Linked DNA regions of Lytechinus pictus. The protein of the gene in region 1 purifies or fractionates together with the protein of each later gene. This does not show direct contact. Links are inferred from orthologs where the notes say so. Each region holds a gene or a part of one and is shown in the gene's direction. Other genes may lie near its edges.

What was found.
Region 2: the proteins of la-related protein 7-like (region 1) and protein LTV1 homolog purify together in Homo sapiens (affinity purification with mass spectrometry; 3 studies listed by BioGRID and IntAct, with this or other methods). This does not show direct contact. The link is inferred for Lytechinus pictus from reciprocal best matches to the Homo sapiens genes LARP7 and LTV1.
Region 3: the proteins of la-related protein 7-like (region 1) and putative ATP-dependent RNA helicase DHX57 purify together in Homo sapiens (affinity purification with mass spectrometry; 3 studies listed by BioGRID and IntAct, with this or other methods). This does not show direct contact. The link is inferred for Lytechinus pictus from reciprocal best matches to the Homo sapiens genes LARP7 and DHX57.
Region 4: the proteins of la-related protein 7-like (region 1) and ribonucleases P/MRP protein subunit POP1-like purify together in Homo sapiens (affinity purification with mass spectrometry; 3 studies listed by BioGRID and IntAct, with this or other methods). This does not show direct contact. The link is inferred for Lytechinus pictus from reciprocal best matches to the Homo sapiens genes LARP7 and POP1.

Annotation. Positions count from the first base shown.
Region 1 is NC_087262.1:10,071,012-10,078,772, forward strand, and holds the start of la-related protein 7-like, read left to right. Parts: upstream 1-4,759; 5' UTR 4,760-4,890; intron 4,891-6,969; 5' UTR 6,970-6,970; coding exon 6,971-7,160; intron 7,161-7,761. Other genes in the region: alcohol dehydrogenase class-3-like, read right to left, coding at 324-347. UniProt on the Homo sapiens protein: RNA-binding protein that specifically binds distinct small nuclear RNA (snRNAs) and regulates their processing and function.
Region 2 is NC_087261.1:15,872,586-15,880,019, reverse strand, and holds the start of protein LTV1 homolog, read left to right. Parts: upstream 1-4,412; 5' UTR 4,413-4,493; coding exon 4,494-4,496; intron 4,497-7,434. UniProt on the Homo sapiens protein: Essential for ribosome biogenesis.
Region 3 is NC_087251.1:25,962,704-25,970,394, reverse strand, and holds the start of putative ATP-dependent RNA helicase DHX57, read left to right. Parts: upstream 1-4,688; 5' UTR 4,689-4,773; coding exon 4,774-5,192; intron 5,193-5,625; coding exon 5,626-5,817; intron 5,818-6,022; exon of another isoform or gene 6,023-6,176; intron 6,177-6,971; coding exon 6,972-7,160; intron 7,161-7,396; coding exon 7,397-7,518; intron 7,519-7,691. UniProt on the Homo sapiens protein: Probable ATP-binding RNA helicase.
Region 4 is NC_087261.1:30,211,805-30,219,249, reverse strand, and holds the start of ribonucleases P/MRP protein subunit POP1-like, read left to right. Parts: upstream 1-4,434; 5' UTR 4,435-4,587; coding exon 4,588-4,659; intron 4,660-7,445. UniProt on the Homo sapiens protein: Component of ribonuclease P, a ribonucleoprotein complex that generates mature tRNA molecules by cleaving their 5'-ends. Also a component of the MRP ribonuclease complex, which cleaves pre-rRNA sequences.

The DNA of each region.
Region 1 (7,761 bases):
TTGGTTGATGGAGAATGGAGGGAGTCTCCCATCATGCCCATATTAATTGCCATGCGCCTCTCCCATGATGCAAATCAATCATGTAAAATTCAAATTCATTTATTTCACATCTCTTAAAAAACATATACGGTAGACCCTAGTAATTTTTCCTAGAATAATTGTGCATATTTAGTTTCTCCTCAATGGCAATGCACCCGCACACAACACATGCACAAAACTTCCACAAATCGCTTTTTTTTTTTTAACAACGATCTAAGTTCTAACTTAACGTTACGATTACTACACTAAGTTAGGTATGGTAAGATACAATACGGTACCGGTACCTTTCCTACTGTACTATCAGCCATGTCAGCTTAGTAATCCTTGGGCAGTTTCTGAAACCGTAAAATTTAGCTTTGATGAAGCGGACAATTTGTTCTCCTGACTCCTGTTAGAAATTCCAGTACAGCAAACATGCGGTATCGTGGAGCGGTCGGCGGCGCGCGGGCACGGGGGCGGAGTCGGAGGCGGGCAGGCGGGCATCCACGGCCGATATTCCGGCGCTGCGGCCGCCCGAAGAAAGGCGCTTGGTCAGGCAAAAAGGGGCGGGGCCCGCTGGAGGAGGGAGAGGGACGTGTGCAAAGCTTATCCAGGGACGTAGTGTCGTCTGCAAGCACTTCTCCCTCTTTTGTTAGCTGTCTTTGAGTTGTGGTGTATTAATTGGCAACCAGTCAAAAAAATGACTATTTTTGCCACTGCTTTGATTTGGAGCCTTCTTTGAGAGGATGAAAAGCTTCTTTTCCTTCATCTTTTTTTTTCTATTTCACTTTTTTTTTTTTTACTGGTTTTGGTTAGAATATGCTGTAAACTTAATTTTGAGTTCTTAGATCAGACTAGGCCCTTATAGGGAGTACTATATAGTACAGTGGCGTAGCTAGGATTTTTTTCCTGGAGGGGCACTGGGGGGTCCTTGCTTTTTCAGGGGGGCAACATTTTTTTTCTGTGCGTGTCACAAGGGCCAATCCGACTTTCGCCAATTAGGGGGTGGGCCCAAAATTATATATTTCCCCGATCGGTCACTTCTTAGCTTTAAACAATATGAGATTAATCTCATAAGCCCTATATAAAAAGTGCGAGCGCGATGTGTGAGCTAATTTTTCTTAAACTTTCATGTATTTTGTCCTGAAAATCTTACATTCTGGGCAATGTTTGTGATCCTGAACACTAGATAATTACTGCGAACGCCAAGCGCAAGCAGAAATTTTCAATAAATGTTCTGGCATGATCGAAAAGGGACCTGTTAAGGACTGTTTAATTATAGTTACACACGAAGAAGGTACATATTACAATTATTATGGGCGAAGTGCAAGCTAAACATTTTTGACATTCCAACCTAAAAAAAAATGGTCATTCTAAGCACTTTTCGTAATGTGAAATGGGATATTAGGTATGTAACTAAACAATTGATGCGAGCGCGAAGCGCGAGCGGAAGAAATTTGAGTTTTTAGACCTTAAAACGGGACAATCTATTCATATTTAGTAAATCATGAATAGGATATGGTTAATTGGGTATTATAATGCGAGCGTGAAGCGCGAGCAGAAAATAAAAGTTCTGATCTGATACTGGATAATTTCAAACACATTTTAAATAAAGAACATATATGCAGGAACATACATGACGACTCCCAGGACCAAAATCCAGTTAAAACCAATTAGGGCAAAACCAATTGAAACCAGTTGGCCAACTGGTTTCAATAGGGGAATTGGAACAACTGGTTCCAATTGAAAACCAGTTGCCAATTGGTTCCAGTTAAAACCAATTGGTTCCAATTGAAAACCAGTTGCCAATTGGTTCCAGTTAAAACCAATTGGGCAACTGGAACCAGTTGGCAATTGGTGTCAATTGGTTCCAGTTGTTCCAATTTCCCTATTAAAACCAATTGAAGGCAACTGGTTTCAATTGGTTCCAGTTGAAACCAGTTGGAGGCAACTGGAACCAGTTGAAACCAATTGGTTTCCAACTGGATCCAATAGGAACTTCCAGTTGGAATGAACTTAATTAGTTACAAATGAATTAGCATTTGCACTAACTATTGCTCATGCCAACACAGAAGCAGTGTTATATGTCTATTAATACCAATGTAAAGGGCATTGATAAAATACAGACTTTCATATATGTATATATTTATATGGAAGATCTTCAAATATATGTATTTTTATTTGATGTAATTTGGTAACAGTTAGTGGTGTACTAATTATCCTTTAATCTGTTTTAATTATAATCTATGACATTTATGAACATGGTTTTCACTGCTAAGTATTTTAAATACTTATCTTTAAAAAATGTGGTACTTGAAATTGAAAAGAATTAAATAGATACATTGTTAATGATGATGAATCTCATAAAACATTAATCTGTGCACACTGGCAGATAATATGCAAATTAACTGGTTTCAATTGGATCCAGTTGGGTAACTGGAAATGATTTCCAATTGGTTTCCAATTGGAAATCATTTCCAGTTACCCAACTGGTTCCAATTAGAATTCATTTCCAGTTACCCATCTTTCCTGTTAGAAGTCATCTCCAGTTACCCAATTGGTACCAGTTAGGATTTCCAGTTAAACAACTGCATGGTTCAAGTTAGGATTTCCAGTTACCCAACTGGTTCCAGTTAGAAATCATTTCCAGTTGGAAGTCATTTCCAGTTACCCAACTGGTTCCAGTTAGGATTTCCAGTTACCCAACTGGTTCCAGTTAGGATTTCCAGTTGCCCAACTGGTTCCAGTTGGGATTTCCAGTTACTCAACTGGTTCCAGTTAAAAATCATTTCCAGTTACCCAACTGGTTCCAGTTAGGATTTCCAGTTGCCCAACTGGTTTCAATTGGTTTCAACTGGAAATTGTTAAATTCTAGTTAAAACCAATTGAAACCAGTTAAAACCAATTGAAACCAATTGAAACCAGTTGGAAATCCAACTGGTTTCAATTGGATTTTGGTCCTGGGACTCCATATCACCCTTTTTAGCAAGACATGATTCTCATCGAAAAGGCAATCCGAGCGCGAAGCAACATGAATTTTTTTTTTCTTTTGTCTTCCCATTATTTTATTCACTCGTCTTCCTCCTCTTATTTTCCTCTTCTTCTTTCTTCCCTCTTCTTCTTTCTTCCCCCTTCTTTTTCTTTTCTTCTTTCTCCCTTTTTCTTGCTCTGCCAATTTTTTTCAGTGGGGGCACACCAAATCTTACTGGGCAGTAGTAGTTCTTTTTTTTTCAGAAGCTAATTTTCCCGGCAAATTTTTACTTTTTTTGTGTGTGTGACGAGGCAATTCATGGCGAGTAATATTAAGAGGTGCACATCATGTGGGATATACAAGTGTAAATTAGTAGGCCTATTCTGTTAAAATAAATGCATGATTTTGTAACAAAAACACTCTCCAAATCGTTTTGGTCCCGGGGGGCCCGGGGGGGCACTTATTCACGAGTGGATACCATGCGCGACCAAAAAAACACGTAAAAAGGATGTCTTTTTCAAGATAGGGCACGTTACGGACGTAACGTATTAAGGGTGTCAAAAACACTAAAATTAGGTTATCTATTTTCGCTATAGGAAAGCTACGCACGTGTTAGGGTCAAATTTGCGAGGGTACAAAAATGAAGACTAAAATGTTTTATAATGCCCCAAGGGTCAACTCTACTTGTTTAGAGTATGATTTGCGCGAGATGTGGGGGAGGTACGTGCAGTGGCGTACCTAGGATTTTCCACAGGGGGGGGGCAAAACCGTCCGCCAAAAAATTTGAAAAAAAAAAAAAAAGGGTCTTCGATCACAAATAAAGGATTTCGTACCAGAAAAATATTGACAAGCAAAAAAAAAAAAAAAAAAAAAAAAAAAAAGGTCTTCAAGCTCGTCAGGGGGGCATTGAAGGTCTTAAAGCTCGTCAGGGGGGGGGGCAAAAAAGGTTATACAAGCCCGTCAGGGCAAAGATACGTTTTTGCATGGGTTTTGACTCGTCAGGGGGGGGGGGGGGCAGAGTGCCCCCCCTGCCCCCCCCCATAGGTACGCTAGTGGGTATGTGGCAGGTGGTGCTGAACTAATTAAACCCAACGATGTCAGGTAAATTAGGTATAAAACAGAACTATCGCTGCGGTACTTGTTTAGGGATCCAATTCAGGGAATACTTGCCAAGAGTATCGTTTTGTTTCCAATACTTAATTGTTAAGTGGAAGTGCCCCCCCCCCCGGATTTTGATACAAAATCAAACGACTGCAATGATTTTGTTACAAAATAAACCGACAGTAACGATTTGGTAACAAAATCATTTGACAGAAATGATTTAGATGTTACTATAAGGCCTATACCCCGGCCGTGTGGGGCAATTGTGAATTGAGAAATGATATAACAGTCCCGGATAACAGCTAGCTTCTAGATTAGTTAACCCAAATTTATCCATATAAGATATATGCCAAGCCAATTAGATATGCATATTTCATTTTATTCAAGTTGAAGCAAGTATTTAGTAAAGTTGATTATTCTGCATGTCCCCGGTCTTTCCTATTTATAGTAACCTGTCACTTGGTCACTTCCCCCAAAGGACCCAATCGATGGGCCTCCTGGGAGGTTTGCCCCCCCCCATAAAGAAATGATTTCGCCGTGCTTGCCCCCCATGGGGGCCCCATCATTGCAAGCTCAAGAAAACAACACCCCCTCGGCCTCGTGTATGATAAATTCGGGATAAATTTCAAACTCCCAACAAAGTAACGAAGTGGTGTTACGTTTACGAACGTAATAAATAGCGTTCCATACTTAAAAGCTGTAAAAGAAAATCTTGCGTGAACACGGCGTTTGTCTCAAATTTCATCTAAATACTAGCTCCTAGACATATACTACGTGTATTTTGTTGCTGTATTCTAAAAGTAAGTACAATCATTTAGGTAAGAAACTTCCATACGGTAATCTTGTCGTGTGGGTGATGGAAAGTCGGACACTATTTACATTTGTTTTGAACTTATTGTCGCCTTGCTTGGCCTGCTGAGCTGGCGCTGGCTAATCGTTCAGCGTTCGTTTCTGTACAAAGTCTATGGGAATGGAATTATGGAAAGCTGTCAGTAGCATGCACTAATGATAATGAAGTCAGTGATCTGAAGTGAAGCCGAAGGCTGAAGCAGTGAATCTGAAAATGAACGTCGGGGACTGGTGACAAATTTCATGATAGCGGAAATAATGACTCGCCCAGTAGCGTATGCAGGATTTTTGAAAGGGGGGGTTCAAGCCGAATGAAATGTTGACGACCCCAAAATTTTAGGTCGTTTCCTTTAAATATAGCCACAGTAAAATAACATTTTTTTTCAAGACTTTGTCTTTGGGAAGTTTGGCTTGTCAATTTTTTTTGGGTAGGAAATTTTTACCCCCAAAAAAATTGACAAGCAAAAAATTGATTTCTTTCAGGGGAGTTTTGGGTTTAAAAATACCAAATGGGGGGGGGGGGGGGGGCTGACGTACGCTACTGGACTGGTCCTTTTGTTTGGCCATAATTAGCCAGGGATTGAAGCTGAAGTGGAGCCAGGGGAGGGAGCCTCGGTCCTTCCCCTCCCCCTAAAAAAAAAAACATTGAAAAAATACGAATCTATGAGCCTAATAGTCCACCTCCTGGAATGTTTTATATTTTGTATGTATGCAACTACCAAACACATAACACACTACCAATCCCATAACACACATACACACGCCCTGAATAGTCACATTTTTTCGCGGAAAGTGAATCAGTGGGTTAGGTGAATCACTGGTGGTACGTGAATCGTTGGAGTGTGTCATGTGTGTTGGTAAATGTGTGCGTGCGGGTCTAGATAGATGCAAAGGGTTTGCACAATCATTAAAAATCGTCCAGGACGTGGAATATGAGCCTAACAACCTTTGCTTCCTTTATATACTTCCCCATTCCCCCCCCAAAAAAAAAAAAATATATATATATTTATGCCTAATAAATGAAGGGAAATAGAAAGAGATAAGAGCTCTGACCCAAGAGGCCTACACATAATTGGTGGCACAAAAGACAGGAGAAAAAAAAAAGAAAAGGAGAAGAAAAAAGAAAACCAAAAAGTGGGAGAGACAAGAAAAGGAAGGAATCGATAAAAGAATTAGGAAGAAAAATTGAAAGGAGGAAGAGTGGTAAAGAAAGTGAGAGGAGGGGTTTGGCATATTTAGCAATCCTGTTGGGTCACATGCCAAAATAAATTCTGCTTATAAAAATGCTCTCGCTCACATTAATCATATCCTGCACGCTATGCTTACTAGGCACAATTCGTTTTTTTTTTTCAAGTCTAAAGAAAGAAATAATTCAGTTCACACTCGGTACTTAATTAGTTTCTTTTTAAAGATATGCAGCGTGTTCATTTAATGTCCTGCTTTCACGTCTGAATACAACAAAAATTTAGCTCAGACTTTAGTTAAACCCAGGTTTGGAATATGGGCCTGGCTGTCTGACTCTTTGAGTCTCACTCTGGATCATCATCATTCCTGATGAATAATTGACAAATTACCCGGGCGATACATTATTACTAGTTTTAGTGTTTTACTACCAATAATAATAGGCATTTGTATAGCGCCATCTATCTAGAAATAATCCATTTCGAGGTGCACTATTATTATTATAAATTATTACCCCAGCTTTAGCCCGAGCTACATGTACCTTGCAGCACTCTGCTTTCAAGGGCATAAACCTGCCTGGTGCCTCACCTCACCTGGGTTGAGTGCAGCACAATGTAGGTAAATTTCTTGCTGAAGGAAAACACGCCATGGCTGGGATTCAAACCCATGCCCTCTGATAGAAAGATGATTGTTTTAAATATTTGTGAAAATAAGAACCAAAAACAGCTCCAATAAAATGTCGCCCTAACACTATTCCTAGATATTTGATGGCAGTTGAACATGTTACCTCTCTGTTAGTTTGGGCTTTAAGTTCTAATTTTTTTTCTTCATCTGTACCATATCTGCAGGATGAAAGCAGATAAAGCAGAAGCAAAAGACAACTCGTCGCTTGGAGATGCCTCGATGGAGAAGCGGAGGAGAAAGCGCCATAAGAAAATCATACTTGATGTCAGTCAGCAGATCGAGTTTTACTTCAGCGATGCCAATTTGAGGAAAGATCGATTCCTGAAGCAAGAAATGTCTAAAAATAAAGATGGATGTAAGTCTGTGGTCAGTTTTAAAGCTGGCTCAAACGTTTGGTTAGGGTTACAACTGACCATTGTCGTCCATTTGACATGTCAATCTTACAGAAGTGTACTTAGCCATTGATTTTTTTTCAACCATTGATTCTCTCTGGAATTTCAAGCATTCCTTTCTCAGATATCTGATGCCCTCTCTCGCTGTGTTTTTATTTTTCTTTAAAAAAAAAAGCTTGAGCATTTTTTCAAATAAAGATTGTATCTTTTTATTCTCAAAGAATAAAAATGCAGGTTTTTTATTTGGATTTAATGTAGAATTGTAAAATTTATCCTGTAAAGCACAATTTCCTTTCCTCTCCGTCACATCATAAATGTTTTAGGGCAAACAGGAATTTGTCATTAAATCCACTGCAATGTATTGGGTTATAGGCTGGGATGTAGTCAAGACCGGCACTCGCCCCGAGTCACATGTTCAAAGTCTATGGGAAAAGGTTCTCTGTGCACAGCGACCTCATGACTCGGAAGCACCAGCATTGACTACTTCCCCGGTTACACAGTGGTGCTCAAAAGTTAGTGAACCCCACCTGGGTCCCGTAACACAAAGGTTAGCGATTAATCGTA
Region 2 (7,434 bases), on another chromosome or scaffold:
AAAAAAAGCTCTGAGAGAGAGCAAAGCGAACGAGCAACTACTTGCGGTACCAGTTTTCGAAAAATTTTCAGAGAATGATATATTTTCCTTTCCTTTTTTTTCTTCTACATAATGTCTTACGGTAATTTACAAGATGGACTAATCTAAATACTCCAACATTTTGAAGTCGCCTCAAACGTATGCACCTTGATCTATACATTAATTTAACCAGCTAGTTATATAAAAGGGCACATAGATTATCAAGGTTCGAATCTCCATAAAAAATCACAGAAATTGTTTGTTGTCCCTTTAATGATTCATCATCAGTAAGTTGTCAGATGAGCAGGATTAGGCTCATGCCCCCCCCCCCCAAATTTTTTTCAAGACCCCCCCCCCAAAAAAAATAGAGGAAGGAAAGAAAAGGAAAGGGATAAGGGGGAAATATGACTGGTAGTGATTTTTTACCTGATTGCTAAGAAAGCATGAATGCTTGTAAGCAAGCAACCGGTGGACCAACAGCTTAAAATCCTCTCCGAGGGACCTGGTAATGAGGATTAATGCCTTACCAAAGGGCACTAGCGCACCAAGTGGGAATCGAACCCAGGCCACTGGAATCCGAAAACCCCGCTCTACCGACTGAGCTATATATCTCTCTGAACATTATTTCAAAATCTATCACAAACTTGGATGTCAAAATTTTTGTTCGCTCGCTTCGCTCGCATGCAACTTTTTATTAAAGGGGAATCCAACCCAAATAAAAACTTGTTTTTATTAGAAAAAGAAAAATCAGACAAGTTGATAGGTGAAAGTTTGAACAATATTGGACAAACAACAAGAAAGTTATGAATTTTTAAAAGTTATAAATATTGGTAATCACTATACCCATGGAGACTTCAAATTGGCCGCATATGGGATGTCATAGTGATGTAAGGCAAGGACTACTCTTCCATGTACTCCAATTAATATTATGGCTAAAATTTCATTTTTCCCAAAAGTTTTATTTCAAATTATATTTTTCTTTCATGAGGACATAAAACAATATATTACCTGGATTATATTTAGATTACTGCCCCAGGGGATTGGGTACTTAGGAGAAAACCACAAATCCCTGATAATAAAGTACATGGCCTATGGGAAAGTTGTCCTTGCCCCTTGTCATAATTTACTTAGCCAGTTGCCAATTTGAAATCTACATACTATTAGTGATCTCAATTTTAAAGCAGCTATATAACTTTCCTATTGCTTGTCCGATTTCTTTCAAACTTTCGCCATTCTGTTTAATTTATTTTTCTCCTTCCCAACACAACATTTTATGGCCAAGGCTGGATTCCCCTTTAATTTTACACATACGCCATATCGAGCCCCCTCAAAATTTTGGCTCATTACGCCACTATTCTCAGAAACAAGGTAAGGTATTTCATGTAGCCTTAATATAACTTACCCTGCGAGCCCATTTTGGGGGGATATTTGTTATGTTTATACCAAAAAATTAACATTTTGAGCAGCTTTTCATGAACTAGATGCGTATCTACTAAACAATTCACATATGAGCGCGAAGTGTGAGCTGAAATTATTACCTGAAAAGGGACTTATTAATAACTGTTTACAGTGACTCATGAATAGAATATATATCTCACCAATCAAATAATACGAGCGCGAACCGCGAGCTAAAAATTTGTGAGATTCTGATTGAAAACTGGAGAGGTTAACCACTTTTTGCAATCAGAAATAGATATCAAACAATATTATATTAATGTGAGCTCAAAGCGTGATCTGATTTTTATTTAAATTCATACCTTAAAACAGTTCAAGCCCATTTTGATGAGAACATGGTATTAGAACGCTAAGCGCGAGCTGACTTGAAATACTATAGGACATTCAAAGCAATGTAATCATGAACAGGATGGGTGTGTATCTTAAGTTTACAATTGATAAGCATCATGAACAATATGCATATCTAACTAAACAGTACATGAGGGCGCTAAACGCGAGCCGAAATTGTTAATATATTGCAGTGACTCAGATGATAGTATGAACATAGAGCTCTTAATAGCTCCATGGTATGAATATCATATTGATACAGGGGCGATCCAGCCTTCGCCAATAGGGGGGGGGGGCGGAATTTATTTTCAGCCACATTTTCCCCGATCGGCCTCTCGAAGTTGATTTTTGTTTGTTTCTTTGAAGGGGTAGTACTAATAGTCACTTCTAAGCTTTATTCTTATAAATCAACATAAATATAATAATAATCTCACAATTATTTATTTTGCCTCCGACGAAGATTCTGCTAGGATCGAAAGCTTAGGCCCCTTTTTGACTTTCTAATTATTTAGATAGTGCGAGTGCGAAGCGCGAGGTATTTGTTTTTATGTCAAATATTTTCAGCTCGCCAAGCGCGAGCTGAAAATTTTGACATTTCTACCTGAAGAATGGAAATTCTATGCACTTTTTGTAATCGTGAAAAGGATAAGTATATAACTAAAAAAAAATTGATGCGAGCTCTAAGCTCGAGATTTACACCTAGAAAAAATGGCCGGGACACTAATGTTTTGTAAATCATGAAAAGGATCATTTGGTAATCTTCCTACATTAATAATGCGAGCGCAAAGCGCGAGCAGAAAATTTTTATATTGTGATCTGAAACTTGATAATGATTTGATTAGAGAACAACCTGCTTATCTGAATAAGCATGCGCGCGCGTGTTTCAGATTTCGACCTAGAATCTGGGCATTCGGCTTTTTTCTATCAATCAATAAAGCGAGGGCGAACCGTGAGCTTAAAGTATTTGATATTCCGATCTGAAAAGGGGTCAATTTATTGACTTTGTAGGAAAATTGTGAGGTGGATATGGATCACAGTTAAAAAAGAGCTGATATGTTTCATTATTACAATGAGTTTTGACCATCGGACATTCTAAGAACATTATGTCATATGAAAATGATGGCTATCTTCCTATTTCTCTTCCTAAGCGCGAGATGAAACTTGTCGATACTCCATTCTGAAAAAAGGGGACAGTTTGATTATTAAATTAATATCTTATTTATTAATCTAATAAGCCTAAGGAGAGCGCGAAATCTGTTAATATTATGGCCTGAAAACCTGACATTTAAAGCTCTTTTGTAATTTTGAGATGCATGAGTTAATATATTTTCAACAATCAATGCGAGCGCAAATCGCGAGCCGAAAAAAAAAAACTGTCATGAAATGGGAATTTTAAGTAGTTTGGTATAGAACTAATGTTCAGATATACATAACTCACCAATCAAAATGCGAGCGTGCAGCGTTAGCTGATACGTTTTGACAATCTGAACTGAAAAGGGATATATTGAGAACTTTATGGAATACAGGAAAGTGTCCCAAAGTTCAGTTCCACTACACCTCTTCTGAGAGAACTCCACTGGTTGCCTGTACGTCAAAGAATTTCATTCAAAATTCTGTTAATTGTATATAAATCATTAATCGGTCAAGCCCCACATTACATTACAGAATTACTCAAACTTAAAACCCAATCACACAGTCGAAGCCTGCGAAGTTCCACAGATAAATTATTGTTTCAGATCCCATTTCACAAAACAAAAGTCACACTTGGTGATCGTGCATTTGCACTTGCTGCCCCCAAACTATGGAATAGCCTGCCAATTGATATAAGAAGCTCTCCATCCTTGGCTCTCTTCAAATCAAAATTAAAAACATATCTCTTTAGTTAAGAAAATATGCTGTGTAGACATAAGTAAAAAGAGCTCTGAACAAGCGCAGCTGAATATATCCATATAAAAGCTGCGCTATATAAATTAATGCTTATTATTATAAATAATAGGAACATGACAAATCAATATTCAGACCATAAAACATAAATTTTTACCGAGCACTTTTTAAAAATCGATTTGTAAATAAAACAAAATAGTGAAATATTTCCGAGCTGAAATATGTTTTGTACACGTATATTGACTTAAAAATTTGATATTTTAAGCTCCATATTGAGCAGGATATGTAAATCACATAACAGGCAATGCGATCGAGCGAGCGAGGAGGAGGAGAAGAAGAAGAAGAAGAATGAGAAGGAGAAGAAGGAGAAGAAGGAGAAGAAGAAGAAGGAGAAGAAGGAGGAGGAGGGAGAGGAGAAGGAGAAGAAGAAGATTTGGATCATTTGCTGATTTTTTGTGTACAGGCTGTATATATAGGCCTATATTCCGGGCCTATATATTATAATTACAATTTTAAAAAATAACGATTGGTGGAGATTGTGACTTTTAGCATCATTTTTCAAAAACAAAATTTTCATATCTTGTTTAATGAATTTAATTTCGTTACATATATTTGCAGACTCAGATAAGATAAAATAAGATAAGATAAGAGATAGGAAACATGACACAGGGACACGACCTTCTCACAGGTTAAGTCAAAAGGACTTAAATTTTCAATTTTCCCCTCACGAATACCATAATGGATATTGTATGAGCTCGTGCAAGCTTTTCTGAAATAACGCGACGTCAAAAACCTAAAAAAACGCAATCATGGTAAGTTGAACAAAGCGTTTTCACTGAAATAACGCATTTTAGACCATCTTAGTAGTATTTGCGATAATATTAGATTTGAATATTTAGTTCAGGTTGCTAAATTGGTGTTTTAAATTCACAGAAGATGTGCATGTTTTTCACGAGTATTACTTCGGTCCCATCAATTGACATTCGTGTCTGAAGATCGAACCCGAGAAGTGCGAAGGCAATTCCATGACCATGGGCATGGCATGGAAAATGGTATTTTGACTTAAATTCGCGGAAAAGTAAAATTTTCCAATAGCACATTATTCCGACCAGATATGATATGAGAAAAATAGTAGTTTAAATACAAATACAAAAGATGTGCCTGGATCAGACATATGAATTATGATCATGATGATGAGGATCAGTAGAGGCGCTGCTGGTCCAAAAATTGGGATTGTCCCAGAAAACAAGGATATCCTCATAAACCAAGACAAATCATGTCTTGATAAATTGAGACTGTCCTTGTTTATGGGGACGTTTTTTTTCACTCCCCCCTACGGGACAAAGACGGCAATTACGGGAATTGAGAGTGCTAAAAATAGATTCAGTGACCTCAATTCCCCCCAGTTCACCGTCTATTTTTCATGACTTACTGTCTTCCAATAATCTTGTTATGAAACCCGATATGTTTACATTGACTAGCACACTTGATTGGTGTTGGCACTTGACAGGTGAATGAACTTTCCTAGATTTCTTGTGTGAAGAAATCCTTATAAACTTGAGACAGTCCCTGTAAACTGGGACGATCCCAATTTTCTGACCAGCGCCTCTACTGAGGATTTACTTAGAAAGTCCAACTCCAAGGCAAAAACATTGAAAAACAGTAGACCAAAAAGCTTCGGTCTCTGAATTATTGGTTGTTCCGCCGGATTCCGTTGGCTCCACTCACCAATTACAGAGACTGAAGTTCTAACTCGATCTGTACAGGGACTCAATGGCCATATATTTATGTATTAAGTTCACATGACATAGTCATAAACCACTCCTAGTACCAATGAGGTCCAAACATTAGCATGTATGGACCTCATAGGCGACAATGCGTTAAAAACAGGTTAGAACTTCTAACTGTACTGTTTCCTGCACCCAAGTATGATATTACTCCCAAAATATGAGTTTTGTCCTCGTTTGTTTATCATTTATTAAAAGATTGCCCATTAAATATATTCCTATTCCTAATTTGAATTTAATAAAATAAAGGGAAACTTACATTTGAGTCATTTTTCGATCTTTTTTTGGCAGTCAGTCCGGTCACCGTTGAGTGCGATCAAAGCGGTATGAAGCTGATTTTCAGATCACGTGATACGTGTGGTCATCACCTGATCAATCGACTATCCTTTTTTTAAAGACCGCAACAATTATAAATTTTATTATAAAATATATATAGAATAAATTATTGCATAATATTATGTATATTTCTACAATTAAAAAATATTTTGTGATATAAATTTAATATTTGACGTAAAAATCGCTATTGAACAAAATATTTATTAAAAAATAAAAAATCAAACAAAATAAAAAAGCCTTGGACACAGTGCAAAAAACCTAACGATTTGGCCGCGTTGTTAACAACTATCGTAAGGGGCGCTTTATTTATAAATAAAAAAAAATGTACAGCTGTCTACCGCGACGTGGTTTGTCGCAAGATTTGGGACAAATCCGTGGGAATTCTGGAGAAAATACATCAAAAGAACTGGTGAGTACCGTTTAAACATTATCAAATTACTAAATAGATTATACATACCTTGTAGATTTAGTTTTTAAGGTGATATTAGTGCTTAGTTCTAAGCTAGGGAGGCCCAAACGCGCGTGAGCGGAGTCCCACTTTATTAACACGGGTAAGTATTGCGGTGTCGCCTAGAGTGTCATAAACCAGTGAAGTGGGAGTCGCGCGACAGCCAAAGTAAGTCATTGTTTTTTCCCCTTTTAGTTTATTTTTCCCGTTATGGTGCATTTCAGGCCAAAACGGAATAATTATCTTTATTTTGTCCCAGTTCTTTTTATATATTTTTATGAAATACAGACAAAGATCGATGAGCCCCGTCGGGGGGGGATTTTGCATTGTTTACCCCCTAATGGCGGCTGCACAATCGCGAGCCGTCTGTGTACGAGGAGAAATTAAAAAAAATGTTTACAAACTCCACGAAACAGATGGCTGCCAGCTGTCTAGAAAAACAGTTGCAATTTTGACTTTCCAAATTCTTTTCAAAACTTTTCTGGATGCCAGCATGCAGCTGCAGCTCTGAAATTGTTGAAACGAAATTGAACTTCTTTCTAAAGAAGAAAAAATATCAAACACTGACATTCAGAGATAGCTTGGCCAAATTCAATATTTTGGTAAGCTAAGTTAGTAAGTAGTCCTAGAACCTAATATTATTGATTTTTTTTTTAAATATTCATTAAGTTAACTTAAAAAACTGAGCATGCTGAGAAATATGAGAAGATGGGGGAAAAACCATTTACGACCCCATCTTGTTCTCTTTGTTAGTAGCTTAGCTGCAAGACGCATCTAGAGGGCGGCATTTTCTGACCAGCAAACAATGATTTCATGAGAAAGTCTTTAAAATCAAGGTTAAATGCCGCCATAATTATCATAGATCTAGTTGAGTAGTTCTGGTACATTGAACAGTAGAGGCGCTGGTCCATAAATTGGGATTGTCTGAAAAGTGAGGAAACAAGGATATCCTCATAAACCAAGACAAATCATGTCTTGATAAATTGAGATTTTCCTTGTCTATGGGGATTGTTTTTTTTCACTTACCCCTGCGGGACAAAGACGGCAATTACGGGATTGAGAGTGCTAAAAATAGATTCAGTGACCTCAATTCCCCCCAGTTCTCTGTCTATTTCTTACGACTTGCACGTCTTCCAATAATCTTGTTATGAAACCTCATGACCCGTATTCTGAACTCGA
Region 3 (7,691 bases), on another chromosome or scaffold:
AGAGGAGATCTGGAAATAGCGAACTAGTTCGCTACAATTTGACACGTCGTATAATATAGACTAATACAAGGAGATGGCTGTATATAGAGGAGATCTGGAAAATAGCGAACTAGTTCGCTACAATTTCCCGTCGTTAAGAGGAGATCTGGAAAATAGCGAACTAGTTCGCTACAATTTCCCATCGTATGTATATACAGGAGATCTGGAAAATAGCGAACTAGTTCGCTACAATTTCCCGTCGTGTATATATATATAGAGGAGATCTGGAAATAGCGAACTAGTTCGCTACAATTTGACACGTCGTATAATATAGACTAATACAAGGAGATGGCTACAAATTTCGACGCTTATATATAAGCGTTGAAGATCGCTATATTTGCCATCTATAAAATACCGGTGAAAATGTAAGTTCCCCTTCATTTCTTTCATTTTTTGTTGTTGCTAACGATGCATTTACACTATAAAATTATAATTTAAATAAGAGAAAGGAATTATAGCTTGTACTTGTGATATAATGTTTAAATATCCTGTTCTCAGAGATTTCTAACCAAAAATACTACTGATGTCGCCTATGAGGTCCATACATGTAATGTTGGACCTCATTGGTACTAGGAGTGGTAAAAATGTCAGTTTTATGGTCTGAATATTAAAGTTTCTGCTCGCGCTGCGCGCTCGCAAATTTTGATTTATCTTGCAGGTATGGCAGTGAGTCCAAACTTCGCGCGTGTCCATACTTCGCGGACGGTCATTATCTAAAAAACTAGCCAATATCCTTAAAATCTGACATCAACGTGAAAAGCGACCTAAAATTACCCTTTGGTGTAATTTTCTTTAGGATGAGTTCAGTATTCATGAAAAGATCGTCAAATTTGTCACGTTTAGCGCCCGTTTTGAAGAAATCTGATATTCTCAACAAGCATCACGATATCACCATTTTGCAAGCAGAAATCATCAAAAATGTGAGTTAAAATGTGGTACTAACCGATTCTATAGCATTTTGCCATCAATCTGATATAAATATTTCACTTTTTTAGCTTGAGTTTTTGTTTAAATGTCCGCAAAAACTTTGGTCCGCGAAGTTAGGTCACACTTTTTCTGAACGGTTATCCAGCACAGCGCGCATTCGCCGATCGGAATAGAATTTTGAGATCGCGATACTGGCGAATCCCCTTGACCTACTTTACGTTTTCGTCCATGATTTTATAGTTTACGATCTTGCCGTCAATGTGGTAACTATTTTTTTAATTGGTTTTGTATAAATTATGAATATTTTGTGAAAAAAATTTAAGCCTGATGAATATTTTTGAAAAGTGCGCGAAGTTTGGACACCCCATCATACCTTTTATTTTCGTGTATTCCCTAAAATTTTCAAAATATCGCTCTTCAGGTCTCATTGTAAAAACGTATCAGCTCGCGCTGCACGCTTGCATTTTGATTGGCGAGTTGTCAGGTTGTGTTGTCTCAATATTGATTATACAACAAACTACTTAAAGGACAAGTCCACCCCAACAAAAAGTTGATTTATATAAAAAGAGAAAAATCCAACAAGCATAACACTGAAAATTTCATCAAAATCGGATGTAAAAAAAGAAAGTTCTGACATTTTAAAGTTTTGCTTAATTTCACAAAACAGTTATATGCACATCCTGGCTGGTATGCAAATGAGGAGACTATGACGTCATCCACTCACTATTTCTTTTGTATTTTATTGTATGAAATATGATATATTCTAATTTTCTCCTCATTGTCAAGTGATACAACGATTAATTACTCCCTGAACATGTAGAATTAGCATTGTTTTATACTATATGGTTCAGTCAAGTTGGTCCTTATTGTTAAATCTATAAAAAATGAAATATTGTATAATTTCAACAATAAAAAACAAAAGAAATAGTGAGTGATGGACATCATTGACTGACTCACCTAGTCGTGCATATCACTGTTTTGTGAAAAATAAGCGAAACTTTAAAATGTCATAACTTTCTTATTTTACATCCGATTTTGATGAAATTTTCAGCATTATGCTAGTTTGATTTTTCTCTATTTGTTCAAGTCAGCATTTTCCTGGGGTGGACTTGACCTTTAAAATCCCCTTTTCATGACAGTGTATAAAAAAATAGGCTCACAATTTGCGCTCGCTTTAATGATTTAAATATATTAACTTGCATCCTATTTATAATTACAAAAGTGCTTGGAATGTCCAGTTTTCAGGCCATAATATCATCAGATTTCGTGCCCTCATTAGGCATTAATGAATAAGATATCAATTAAATAATCAAATTGTCCCTTTTAATTGTTTCATCTCGCGCTTAGCAAGAGGAATAGGAAGACAGTCAATATTTTCATAAGATGACATGTCCTAAGGATGTCCCAGTCCTATAAAAAACTCTTTTCAGATCGGAATATCAAATAGTTTAAGCTCGCGCTCACTTTGATTTTCATGATAAAAGATTATTTAGAATGCCTAGATTTTAGGTCTAAATATGAAACACGCGCGTATGTTTATTCAGATACTCAACTTGTTCTCTTAATTTAAATCATTTTCCAGTTTAAAATCACAATATCAAAAATTTTCTGCTCGCGCTTTGTGCTCGCATTATTAATGTACGAAGATCCCCTATTACTCATTCTTTTCATGATTTACAAAACGTGAATAGAGTGTCCCGTTTTTAGGTCTAAATCTCGATTTTTTTTCCGCTCGCGCTTCGCGCTCGCATCGCGCTCGCATCAAATTATACATGGTTTAGTTATATAGCTATCCTGTTCACGATTACGAAAATTGATTAAAATTTCCATTCTTTACGTAGAAATGTCCACAAAATCAGCCATTTTGAAGCATGTTTGCCAATTTGAGAATCCCCATATCCATATAGGCATAGAAAGTATACCCAGTCTGCCAGTTGTGTGTCCGGACAGGTTGTGTGTTCGGACGATCAATTTTAGAAAGTCATTTGGAAAAATTTACAAGCAAAGTTTCATCATTTTTTAGTACAAAATGTTAGGAAATTAGAGAACAAAATAGAAGATGATTACAACTATTGAATTCTTTTTTTTTTCATGTAATCCAAAGACAAAAAAAGGCTTCAAAAATATAAAGTGTCCGGACACCCGACCCCCCATCCTACAAGTAGATTTTTCAAAATTCCATAACTAGCTGATTTCATAACCGATTTTGATGAACTCATTTTACTATTTCCAATAAGATTGCTTCTCTTCTTGGGTTTTGGTTTCCTTTAAAAGGGAAGTTCATGGTTAACCCTGATAAAAAGTTTATTGTAAAACTATAAAATCAAAGAAAAAGTAATGAAAAATATTGGTGAAGGTTTAAGTTAAATCCATCAACAGATCAAAAAAAGTTATTGTCTCACCTGCATAGCAGAGTAAGACTATATGCGCCGCTTTTCCGACGGCGGCGGCGTCAACACCAAATCTTAACCGAAGGTTAAGTTTTTGAAATGACAGCATAACTTAGAAAGTATATGGACCTAGTTCATGAAACTTGGCCATAAGGTTAATCAAGTATTACTAAACATCCTGCCTGAGTTTCAAGTCACATGACAAAGGTCATTTAGGGTCAATGAACTTTGGCCAAATTGGGGGTATCTGTTGAATTACCATCATAACTTTAAAAGTTTATGGATCTGATTCATGAAACTTAGACATAAGAGTAATCAAGTATCACTGAACATCCTGTGTGAGTTTCAGGTCACATGATCAAGGTCAAAGGTCATGTAAGGTCAATGAACTTTGGCCAAGTTGGGGGTATTTGTTTAATTACCATCATAACTTTGAAAGTTTATTGGTCTAGTTCATAAAACTTGGACATAAGAGTAATCAAGTATCACTGAACATCCTTTGCGAATTTCAGGTCACATGACCAACGTCAAATGTCAATGAACTTTGGCAATATGGGGGGTATCTGATGAATTACCATAATAACTTTGAAAGTTTATGGATTTGATTCATGAAACTTGGACATAAGAGAAATCAAGATCCCATCAAAGTTTCAGGTCACATGACCAATGTCAAAGGTCATTTAAGTTCATTGAACTTTGGCCATTTTAGAGGTAATCATTAGATTGCTGTCATAACTTTCAGAGTTTATAGATATAGTGTATAAAATGTGGATATAGGGGTAATCAAGTATCACTGACAAGTTTTAGGTCACATGATCAAGGTCAAATGTCAATGAACGTAGTATTGTATCATTATATGAATGGTGTTTTTTGTGAATAATTATTTTATAGTAGTTTTGAAAGTCAGCACTGCTAATATATTGAATCGAGTGATGCAGGTCAGGTGAGACCGCCAGAGGCATTCCACTTGTTTTATAAGTTTTTAAAGTTAAAATGAGTGATGTGCAGATGGGGGGGGGGGTGCTTGCCCCCTCCTCAATTTTTTCTCGACCAAGAAAAAGGAACAGGAAAGAGAGAAGGGTGAAATATGATATTATTCTTAAAATATTATGTCAACATCTGTTACAAAATTGGATTTTTGTAATTAAAATGTTAGATATCTTCGCTCGCTCACTTCATTCACTTGTAAGTTTTCAATAATTTTTCCCGATACACCATATCTGGCCCCCTCAAGATTTTTTGCACATTACACCACTGGTTAAATTCATAAGGGAATGTATTTTTTTTCTGAATTCTGATTAATTATTAATATATCTTTATATTACATAGATTCGCCTTGTCAAGGATATACTAGATGATCATGCACCCTAAACTCTCTACAGTGCTTTGACTTCAGTAAGCCTAACACGGTTACACCATGAGCCAACCATCAGGAGCAGTGAGAAGGGGTGGCAAGCCGAACAGGGGAGGAGGCAGGGCCAACCGTGGAGGAAGGGGAGGAAGAGGCGGAGGAGAAGGGAGAGGAGGAGAAGGGAGAGGAGGAGAAGGGAGAGGAGGAGAAGGGAGAGGAGGAGGAGGGAGAGGAGGAGGAAGAGGTAGAGGAGGAGGAGGTAGAGGTGGAGAAGGGAGAGGACGAGGAGGAAGAGGTAGTGGCCGTGGTGGAAGAGGAGGAGGAGCTAGAGGTGGTGGAGGCCAGCAGCCAGGGTCAAACCTAAAGCCCTATGGACCGGTGGCAGACACAGGAGCCAGGAAGTGCAAGAGTGTATCCATGTCCTATGACTATGATGATGATGACTTTGTACTCATGCCCAAACAGGACAAGCAGAAGACATCCAGGTAGTGTTGGAAAATATTATCCAATAGTTGTTTTGCAATACATGTATAAACTTGATTGACAATTGCTATTTGATTGAGTGATCTATCTTATATTTTAAATGAATTTCATCTAATTTTGGAGGTTTATTAGAATAATATGAAGATTCATATTGATTGTTTGAAATTTTGTGAAACAACTTTGATTGGACGTTAAACATTCAATATTAAAACAATTATATACAAAAATGAGATTGGATAGAATACAAAAATGAGATTGGATAGAATTTTGGATAGAATAAGTGAAGTTACTTTTTTGTGTATGTTTGATTATTTCTTATGCAGATCTGCAATTTCAACTTAAAATAATTCAGTCAATTTCAAATTAAATAAATGAAATTGAAGTGATTCATTACAATTTACACATTACTTCCATTGTGTTTTTCTTTTGTCACAGCTACCAGGCACCTCAAACTCACCAACCAAAGGCCTACCAATCTTATCAATCCAATGCTCCTAGTCGCAGGAGAGGCAACTATCAACCCTCCAAGGTCAAGATGCAGTCCCTCCATATGAGTGATGAAAACCAGGAACTAGTCAAGGATATCTTGAGGGAACTACATGGAGCAGACCTGGACCTAGACATGGGGTAGGATTACAGGCTAGGTGTGCGTGATACCTGGTCCCGATTAGAGCTATGCTGTGCCCCCACTACACTCATTGGAGTGTAGTGGGGCACAGTACACCATGTATTATTTTGTGGGCATATGATTGTCTATTACACCCTTCTTTTACACTATGGAAACCTTAAGAGTTTACAACCTATCCTGACTTTTGATTATATTTTGGGGACGAGGGAAGATCACCAATCATGGGCATCCCACCGAAGTATGGTAGGCCACACCAAGGGCAACCTGTCCCCTTAAAGAAATTCCTCACAGACTAATAAGCTGTGGAACCTAGGGCTACCTAGGCTCGTTATTTTCCTTACTCATTAGTTTAAGGCATGGTACATGAAGGGATGCCTCACATCTATGAAATTTCACCATATTTTTGTGTGGTGGTTAGTGAAATATAAATCACTATTTTTTGCTTGATTTATATGAATAAAAAAACAAAATCATCTTTATGTCCATTTTAGATAACTTTTGAAGATAGTGAGATCAGTTCTGTAATGGGATGTGTTTCTAAAGTGTCCATATCATGTAAAAAATTGAAGTTTGCATACATAATGAGATATGCAAATGAGGTGATGCATATTCATGATGTGTAGTTTGTGCACACAGAAAACTTGTTGTTGTTGTTTTTTAGGGGGATGGGGGATCTTATTAAATTTTTGTCTAGGTGATAAGTGAGATATTTGAGATGTGCCAATTTATTGTTCTGCAAATTTGAGGATAATAACAATAGAACTAAGACAAAAAACATAAACATCCAATAAATTGGAAGTTTCTAGCAACGCTCCAATATTTTTTATTCCCATTCTTTTTCTTATTTTTCTTTCCGTCTATGTTTATTTTGTTGACAAATCCTATTGAGAGGGGGAGAGGACGAGGAAGAAAGGGGAAGGAAGAGGGAGGAGGGTAATACATTTTAATGATATCACAGGGTATGTAAGATTAGTTATACTCGGTGACAGCCTGGCATTGTTAGCAACTACAATGTTTCTCGATGGAGAACACTCTGTAGAATGTATGAAAATCAAGGATGCAATATCCATGATCTAAGTACCCTGTTTACACACAGTCAGTAGAATATCCTGTACTTGAAATAATCACTGTCCCTTAATCTCATGCTTTGCAGACTAGAAGACTACGAAGAGCTTGATTATGATACCAATCGTCACTTCTGGACTGATGACAACTCCCTGAAGGTAGAGGCATCTGGTTCAAGCTTTACCCCTCTCGGTGTCTGGCATGAGGAAGAGGATGATAGAGAAAACAAAGATGATACCCAAAAGATCAGTAAATATGCTGTGGAGAAACTTATCAGGTTAGTTTATCATAGCAACACGACTCTTCTAATACCACTACATTTAACTTTATCTTCTGTGTACCAATCAGAGGTCAGAGTTCATGCTGTTTGTTCCTTTTAGCTTCTGTATACTTGTATTTGATTTGGTTAATTCTGGTCTTTGCTTCTTAATACATGTAGATGCAAGTAAAAAAAAATCAAGCATGTCTTTACTTGGCAACATTTGATATCTTTTATTTGTTGTTGGTGTTTAGGTGTGGATACCCTAAGAAAGACAGTCTGCAAGCATTAGAGGATAATGATGCAGATGCAGGTTTAGCATTGGAACAACTCTACAAAGATTTTTTGAAAAATCACTCGATATTGTCAGAACAAGGTGAGTCTGAAGAAATTCACTTGTGAGATTGTGGAAATGAATAAATCTTTAGTATTTCTTATCCTTTCAATATTCTTAATGATACATGCATGAGTTTCAATGTACGATTTGCTGTTTTGTTCAGGGTGCTACATAACTTTTTAGAAGCACTTGCCCGGTCGGGCAAGTGAATT
Region 4 (7,445 bases), on another chromosome or scaffold:
TAAATTCCCCCAAATATTTAGAAATAGGGAATTTATTTTAATTTCATACCTTTGTTATTTCCAGGGTAATCTGTTGTTGGTATTTTCTTTATCAATCTGTCGACTGTATGCGCGGAGGATCGAATTATGCGGCGATGACCTTTTGCACTGAATTGCACTAGTATTCAACCTAGTGATGATAGATAGCGAATCTCAAAATGGTTTAGATCTATGTAAGTCTCTGGCTTTGACTAATCCCTGTTTGGTCTCATCTCAAATGGTCTAGTCCATAGTCGGATGGGACAAGAGCAGATTGAGAGACAGGGCCATCTTTCATCGCTAGGTTGAATACTAGTGCAAAAAACCATCGCCGTATAATTCGATCACCCGCGCACGCAGTTGAAGGGTTGAAGAAAAAAATAACGCAAAAAGAATAACCAGCATTTGCTATTGGAAATAAGACAGGTCCGAAATTAAGGTAAATTCCATATTTCTATATATTTGAGGAAACTCTCCAAACGGGTTGAATACTAGTGCCCTTACGGCATATGTTATTCATTATATATGTCATTTGCTTATTGATATGTTATGCTAAGAAAAAATGATTACTCTTGTATATACTTTTATTATTGGAATGTGGAAATAAATAAATAAAATAAAATCAAATGTTCAGTAATAATAGTAATAAATAAGAATGGTACTATAATAACTATAACAGCTATATATTGGCGGCACAAAAATGAAAAAATGAGAGAAAAGTGGGAAAGGAAGGGAAAAAAAGGACAAGGTAAAATAAGAGGAGGAAGACAAGTGAATGCAACGTGAGGGGAAGACCTGGAAAATATACATTTTTCCAGTATCATAAATTTTACGTGAGATCGTGCTTCGCGCTGGCATTGCCTGTTCGATGAGATACTGTACATCTTCATTATAATGGATTATAATGGGTGCAGTTTTAAAGTCAATTGTACTCGGACACCAATCTTTTATTCTTAATGGTTTTAAAAGGGATTTTAAAGAAGTGCTCAGTATAAACATGGTAAAATGTCCCGTTTTAAGGTTGTCTGAGTATGAAAAAAGATCAGCTCGCGCTCGCATTGTTTTATTTTGTGGAGTACCTATATCCTATTCATGTATACTTTGTTCAGGTCTGAAACAATTATATAAAAGATTAACCAAACAACAGGTGTAAATTAATAACAAATCACAAGAGCAACAGGAGTCGAGTCGGCAATATACACACGCACCGAACACGTATAGAGGGCTATTTATGATTGTATAGACTAAATTAATATTGGACGAAATGATGATTGACCAAGATGGCAATTGGACCTACGTGACTAGACCGAATGGCAATTAGACCAAATTGTCAGACGAAATGGGTTTATACTAAGTGGTCATTAACATAGACCATTTGCCTTGAGACCACTTGGCTAGTGGACTAAATGGTAATTATAGACGTAATGAAAATGGACAAAGTGGCTATTGGGCCAATAATATTGGGGATAAAGCAATCAGACCAAATGGCTATTAGACCAAAGTGATAATAGACGAAATGGAAATCCGGCTATTGGACAAAATGGTAATTGGACGATGTGGATAGTACGTAGACCAACTGATGGTAGACGAAATGACATATCAGACCATGCGGTGAGTGGACAAAATGGCAGTATAGACGAAATGGCAATGAACCGAACGTAGGACGGGATCACCTTCAGTGGCTTTTCTGCGCCTTTAATTTTTTTCTTTACCTAAGTTTTTACTTATTTTATTTATTTATTATTATTATTATTAATTTTTTTTTTTTTTGGGGGGGCTTTCCTTTCTTTATTTATTTTTAATTTTTGCTTTCCTTTTTTTATTTGCGTCCCTAATTTCCCTTTTTTTGCGCCCCCAATGAAAGTGGAACCGGGGTACGTGCCCCCTCCCCCTAGATACCCTGCATCCTGATGGCCAAGTGTGTATTTTGATTGTCACCATTGGCGTACCGTGGGTCACGGCATTGGGGGGGGGGAACCAGCAAAAATTTTGAGTCACTTAAAGAGCGCGCGAAGTGCGCTCAGTTGCCAGGTATACTGACATAAAAGAGACATTTTCAGGACAGTGTCATTAAACGGATATGTATCTCACTGATCACATAATGCGAGCGCGAAGCGCGAGCTGAATTTTTTTGAAATTCAGACCTAAAAAGGACATTATAAGCAAATTCTTGTAATCATAATACATACCTGTCTCGCTAAACAAACCATGCGAGCGCGAAGCGCGAGCTGAAATTTTTTTATATATTGACCCCAAACAGGGACATTTTAAGGACTTTATTTTAGGATTCCATTAAGAGTATACATATCTCACCATAGTCATCTATTGTGAGTGCCAATCTCTTGCTGATTTTGTTAGAATAATATACATCTAAACACATGAAGCACTTTTTGTAATCATTGTAATCATGGTTAACATACGCATCTCACTAATCAAATATTGCGAGCGCGAAGCGCGAGCTGAAAATTTAGGAAATTCAGACCTGAAGAGGGACATTTCAAGGCTTGTTTGTAGGAATTCACGAAGATCATACGTATTTCACTAACAAAAATATGTGAGCGCGAAGCGCAAGCTTAAATTTTTGCATATCATTGACCCCAAACAGGGATATAAGGACTATTTTTTTAAGGAATCCATTAAGAGTACATATCTCACCATAGTCATCTAATGCGAGTGCCAAACGCATGCTGATCTTGTTAGAATTACATGTAAATGACACATGAAGCACTTTTTGTAGTCATTATCATATACGCATCTCACTAACCAAATGATGCGAGCGCGAAGCGCAAGCTGAAATTTTTTGATATTCAGATCAGAAAAAGGGACATTTTAACGACTGATTTTTGGAATTCATGAAGAACAGACATATCTCACCAATCCACGAATGCGAACGTAAGCACGGACAGGAAATGGTTTACATTAAGACCTTAAAATGGGGCAATCACTTTAAGTAGTCATGAAATAGAAGCATATGTCACTACATAAACAATAATAATTCGAAGTGCGAGGAAATATATTTGGTGTATATTGACTTGAAAACGGGAGGTTTTAGTACAACAGGATTATATATCTTGTTAAACATACAATGCGAGCACCAGGAACAATGAAGACATAGGCCCTGCGCAAATTATGTTTCATAAAGTTATAATTTTTTTAAATGTAATATAACATAACATAATTATATAACATAATATAACATTATAATTAACAATAATTTCTTCTTTCCCCACTACGTTTCTTTCCCTTTCTCCCTCTTTTTCTCCTTTTCCCCGTTTTTTTTTGGGGGGCCAGCCGATTGGGGGGGGGGGGGGGGCACGTGCCCCCCATGCCCCCCCGTAGTTACGCCACTGATTGTCACCTATATGTTGATCGTACAAGAACAAAATTATCGAAGTTAACAAATTACGATGTTAATTAAGGTGATTATTTATTTTTTGTGAACAGTGTTTTACATTTTGCAATATACCATATTACCATGGATTTCTACATCCATGATATTACAATGATTTTGATAAAATACATGCATGTATAAATATTATGTAAAAAGATGATATACAAGGAATAGTTTGATCGGGGGGGGGGGGGCAAGACGGGATGTCATTTCTCATAAGTACTACGGTACTTAATTTAGGCCCGACCTTTCCTTTTCATTCTGTTCTTGTTTTTTTCCCTTTTCTCCCACTTTCCCCCCTTTTTTTACTGCGTGTATAAATAAAAACAGGGACAGTTACCCAGTCTCCCCCCCCCCCCATCATTTTGGCCCGTCGCGTCGGGCACGCGTTCTCGGTTCGGTCCCTTAACCGGTCGATCGCCCGCGTGTATAAATAAAAACAGGGACAGTTACCCAGTCTCCCCCCCCCCCCCATCATTTTGGCCCGTCGCGTCGGGCACGCGTTCTCGGTTCGGTCCCTTAACCGGTCGATCGCCCGCACACACCGGCCTCGGATCGACAGACGTACGGTGACTGACACACGTGCTGCACTAGACGACCATGGGCCGATTGTACGAAAGGGTCTTTCCAAGGACCATCTTTCGTGTCGCCCATCTTTTATGGTGCGCTATAAGCGGGGTATTTCTGAAATTTATGATAAACAAATAAAATTCGTAAGCTTGCTTTTGAATCAAATTTTATAGTATTTAATAAGATATCACATCATTTTATAAACAAATATTTTGTTTATTATAACGGACAAATAAAATATATTTGCAGATAATTTATTTGAAATGCGTTTCACATGGCGTATCATAAAAGATGGGCGACACGAAAGACGGTCCTTGGAAAGACCCTTTTGTGCAATCGGCCCCCGGTCTTGCGTAAAGTGACAAAAACTCAAAGGATAGTTAGAACTAAGGTGAGGATTTTTATCCTATGGAGAAGATATATGAATTGTGCCGAATTGGCTGATTATTGATGATGGTAGAGAGCGCGAGAGAAGAACAAAAATTAAGTTGTATGCCTTTCTCAGACTCAGTGTCTGTTGTCTGGTGATGCGGTGCCGGTGTAAGACCCGTGCCCCGTCTCCAGCGGCCTGGAGAATCTGGAAGGTTCGCTGACACCTACCTCGGGCGATGTTCGTGCAGGCTCCACACTTCACATCACTACCGCTACACTACGCTCCACCCACTCACACAACATGCGAGGTTAGTATACTAACCTCGCACAACACATGTGATTTCATAGTGCATTTTGACGTTTTCATTCATCACACGAATGTGAGGGACTATACGCCAAACCTTTCAATATTTGTCCACTATGTCATTGTATGTTAATCTTGATCGTATGGTTTAAGTTTATTTGAAAAAGAAATTACAAATTATTTATTAAAGTGTTTTTATCGCTTACCTCCAAATCTCAACCAGGATACTTCGCTCGGTCCGTCCTTAGTCATCCTTCGTACTGCGGTGGAAATTACGCAAACAACAATCGAAATGCGAAATTTTCCTATCGAACATTCTCGATTCAAGTCGTCGGCGCATAATAGGAAATTGTACCAAAAATCAACATAGTTCTCTATTTATTCAAACAATTTTTTCTGGGGTGCACTTGACCTTTAAGAGATTTTCCAATGAAAATATTACATGGAACTTGGAAATACAAATCATAATTTGGTTGAACAAAATGTTTTCTGTTAAAGTATAAAACAGAAGAGGAACATATTCACGTATTTTTATATCCAAAATATGTTGCCTTAGTATGGAATAATCACAATGACATAAAATGAAAATGGGTAAAGTACCTTCCTAATGATCGTTGAGATTTCGCCTATGGAATCATTGTTTAATAATTTTCAAAGCTTTAAATAGATGAAAATGTTCATTGAGAAAATATACATATATATATATGAACAAAATGATAATGTCCCGATTGTTTCGCATTACGTGTGTTAGATTGCGGGCGTTTGTGTGTGTGTGTAGGAAGCAAGATATTCGTGTTAATGTTTGCACAAAAAAGGAGAGGGAAAGGAAAAGGAAAAGGGGAGGGGGAAAGGTAGAGGAGAGAGAGGGAAAAGGAGACCATAAAATAGAAAGAAAACAAAGGAAAGGAAGAGGGGAAGGGAGAGAGAAAGAAAAATGGAAAGAGCGAGAAAAGAGTAGGGGAGGGAGAAAGGAAGCAAAAGAAGAGAAAGGAAAAAGCGATAAAAGGGAATGGAGGGGGCGGGAAAGGGAAGGAGAGACAATAAAAGACAGATCAGGGGAGGGGGAAAGGTAGAGGAGAGAGAGGGAAATAGAGACCATAAAATAGAAAGAAAACAAAAGAAAGGAAGAGGGGAAGGGAGAGGGAAAGAAAAATGGAAAGAGCGAGAAAAGAGTAGGGGAGGGAGAAAGGAAAGAAAAGAAGGGAAAGGAAAAGCGAAAAAGGGAAGGGAAAGGGAAAGGGAGAGAAGAAAAGAAGGGAGAACGAAAATGGGGAAAGGGAGAAGGAGAGGGGATGATGAAGGGGATAGGAAAATGTCAAGTTTGAAGATCTGAATATTAACACTAAAACAAAATTAGACTCGCATGTTTTATTTATAAAAATACCATCTTTTTCATGATTATAAAGGTTCAACGTCCCTGTTCTAGGTCTAAACTTCAACATAAATCTACTGGTGCTTCGCGCTTGAATTCTGGAGGTCATTCCTCTTTTAAAAGTATAGGTAATCTGTCGGACTTTTCAAATCCCAAATTTAAATCTTAAGCGCAAATGCATTATTTTTCATTTAGATACAGTCCTGTCATCAATATCAAAAACTCTAAGCGCGAGCTTCGCGCTGGTATCATTTTTGTAAGTGACATTTATGATGTTGTTTATATTTTAAAAATGTCCATTTGTTGAGGTTTAAATGTCCAAAAGTTCAGCGCTCGCATAATTTGTAAGGTAAATAGGCCTACCCTTTTAATTGTTATACAAAGGCGCTTATACAACGTCCAGAATGCAGTTCGGAATATTGAAAATAACTATTGGTCCCGCTATTTCTGCCCGTGCGACAAGCATTTATCATTTTGAATCATGAGATTCACCTTTAAAATATGATGAAAAAGTATCGTTAAGACTGAATTAAGAAAAAAAGAAGCTCACGTTTCACGCTCGCATTTTGATCCGTTAGCTTGTGATAATAATGGTGACTTCGTTAATATATCTTAGCGGACATGTCCACCTTTTGGTGCTTCAAGAAAAATAAACACAACACATAAATAATAATAGAAAACGAACAAGAATAGAATAGATAGTTACCTATCCCACTCATGAATTCTTATTTAACAGTCCCCAAAACGTCTTTTTTTCGTGTTAGCTTATTTCATATACATATATATATAAATATATATATATATATATATATAGGTCTCCTCATCATGGTTATAAAAAGTGCTCAGAATTTTTTATTTTCAAGTCCTTGTATCAGAATTTTCAGCTCGGGCAGCTCTATCGCATTTTGATTACTATCCTGTTGATTTATTTACTTGAACAAAATATTTAAAATGTCCAGCTTTTAGAACAGATATCAAAAAAAGGTATTCACCTTTGATCATAGATGAGGAAGAAGAAAAAAGTGCAAAAAAAAAAGGAAACAAACTAACGAATTAATGTGACATAATTTTTCTTCATTTCAAGGCGACTCTTTACATTTCATCATCGCTGATGGCGCTACAATAGAAAATACCGCTTGACAGCAAAAAAAAAAAAAGAAAGAGGAAAATAATGCTGAGCGTCTAAAATGCAGCTAGCAGGACAAGCTGCAGAACCGTAAACAAACATCTTGTGAATAATATCGCGCGCCCTCTTTAAGCAAAAGTTTACAACCACGATGACCCTGCGGTATCTACGTGAAGATCACGAGAAAATGCTTTTTTTTTCTTAAAAACACACCAAAGAAAAGTCAAGAAACGATCCATATGGTTCGGTAAGTGTCATAGCACAATTAGAAACATTATTTTAAAATGAATGG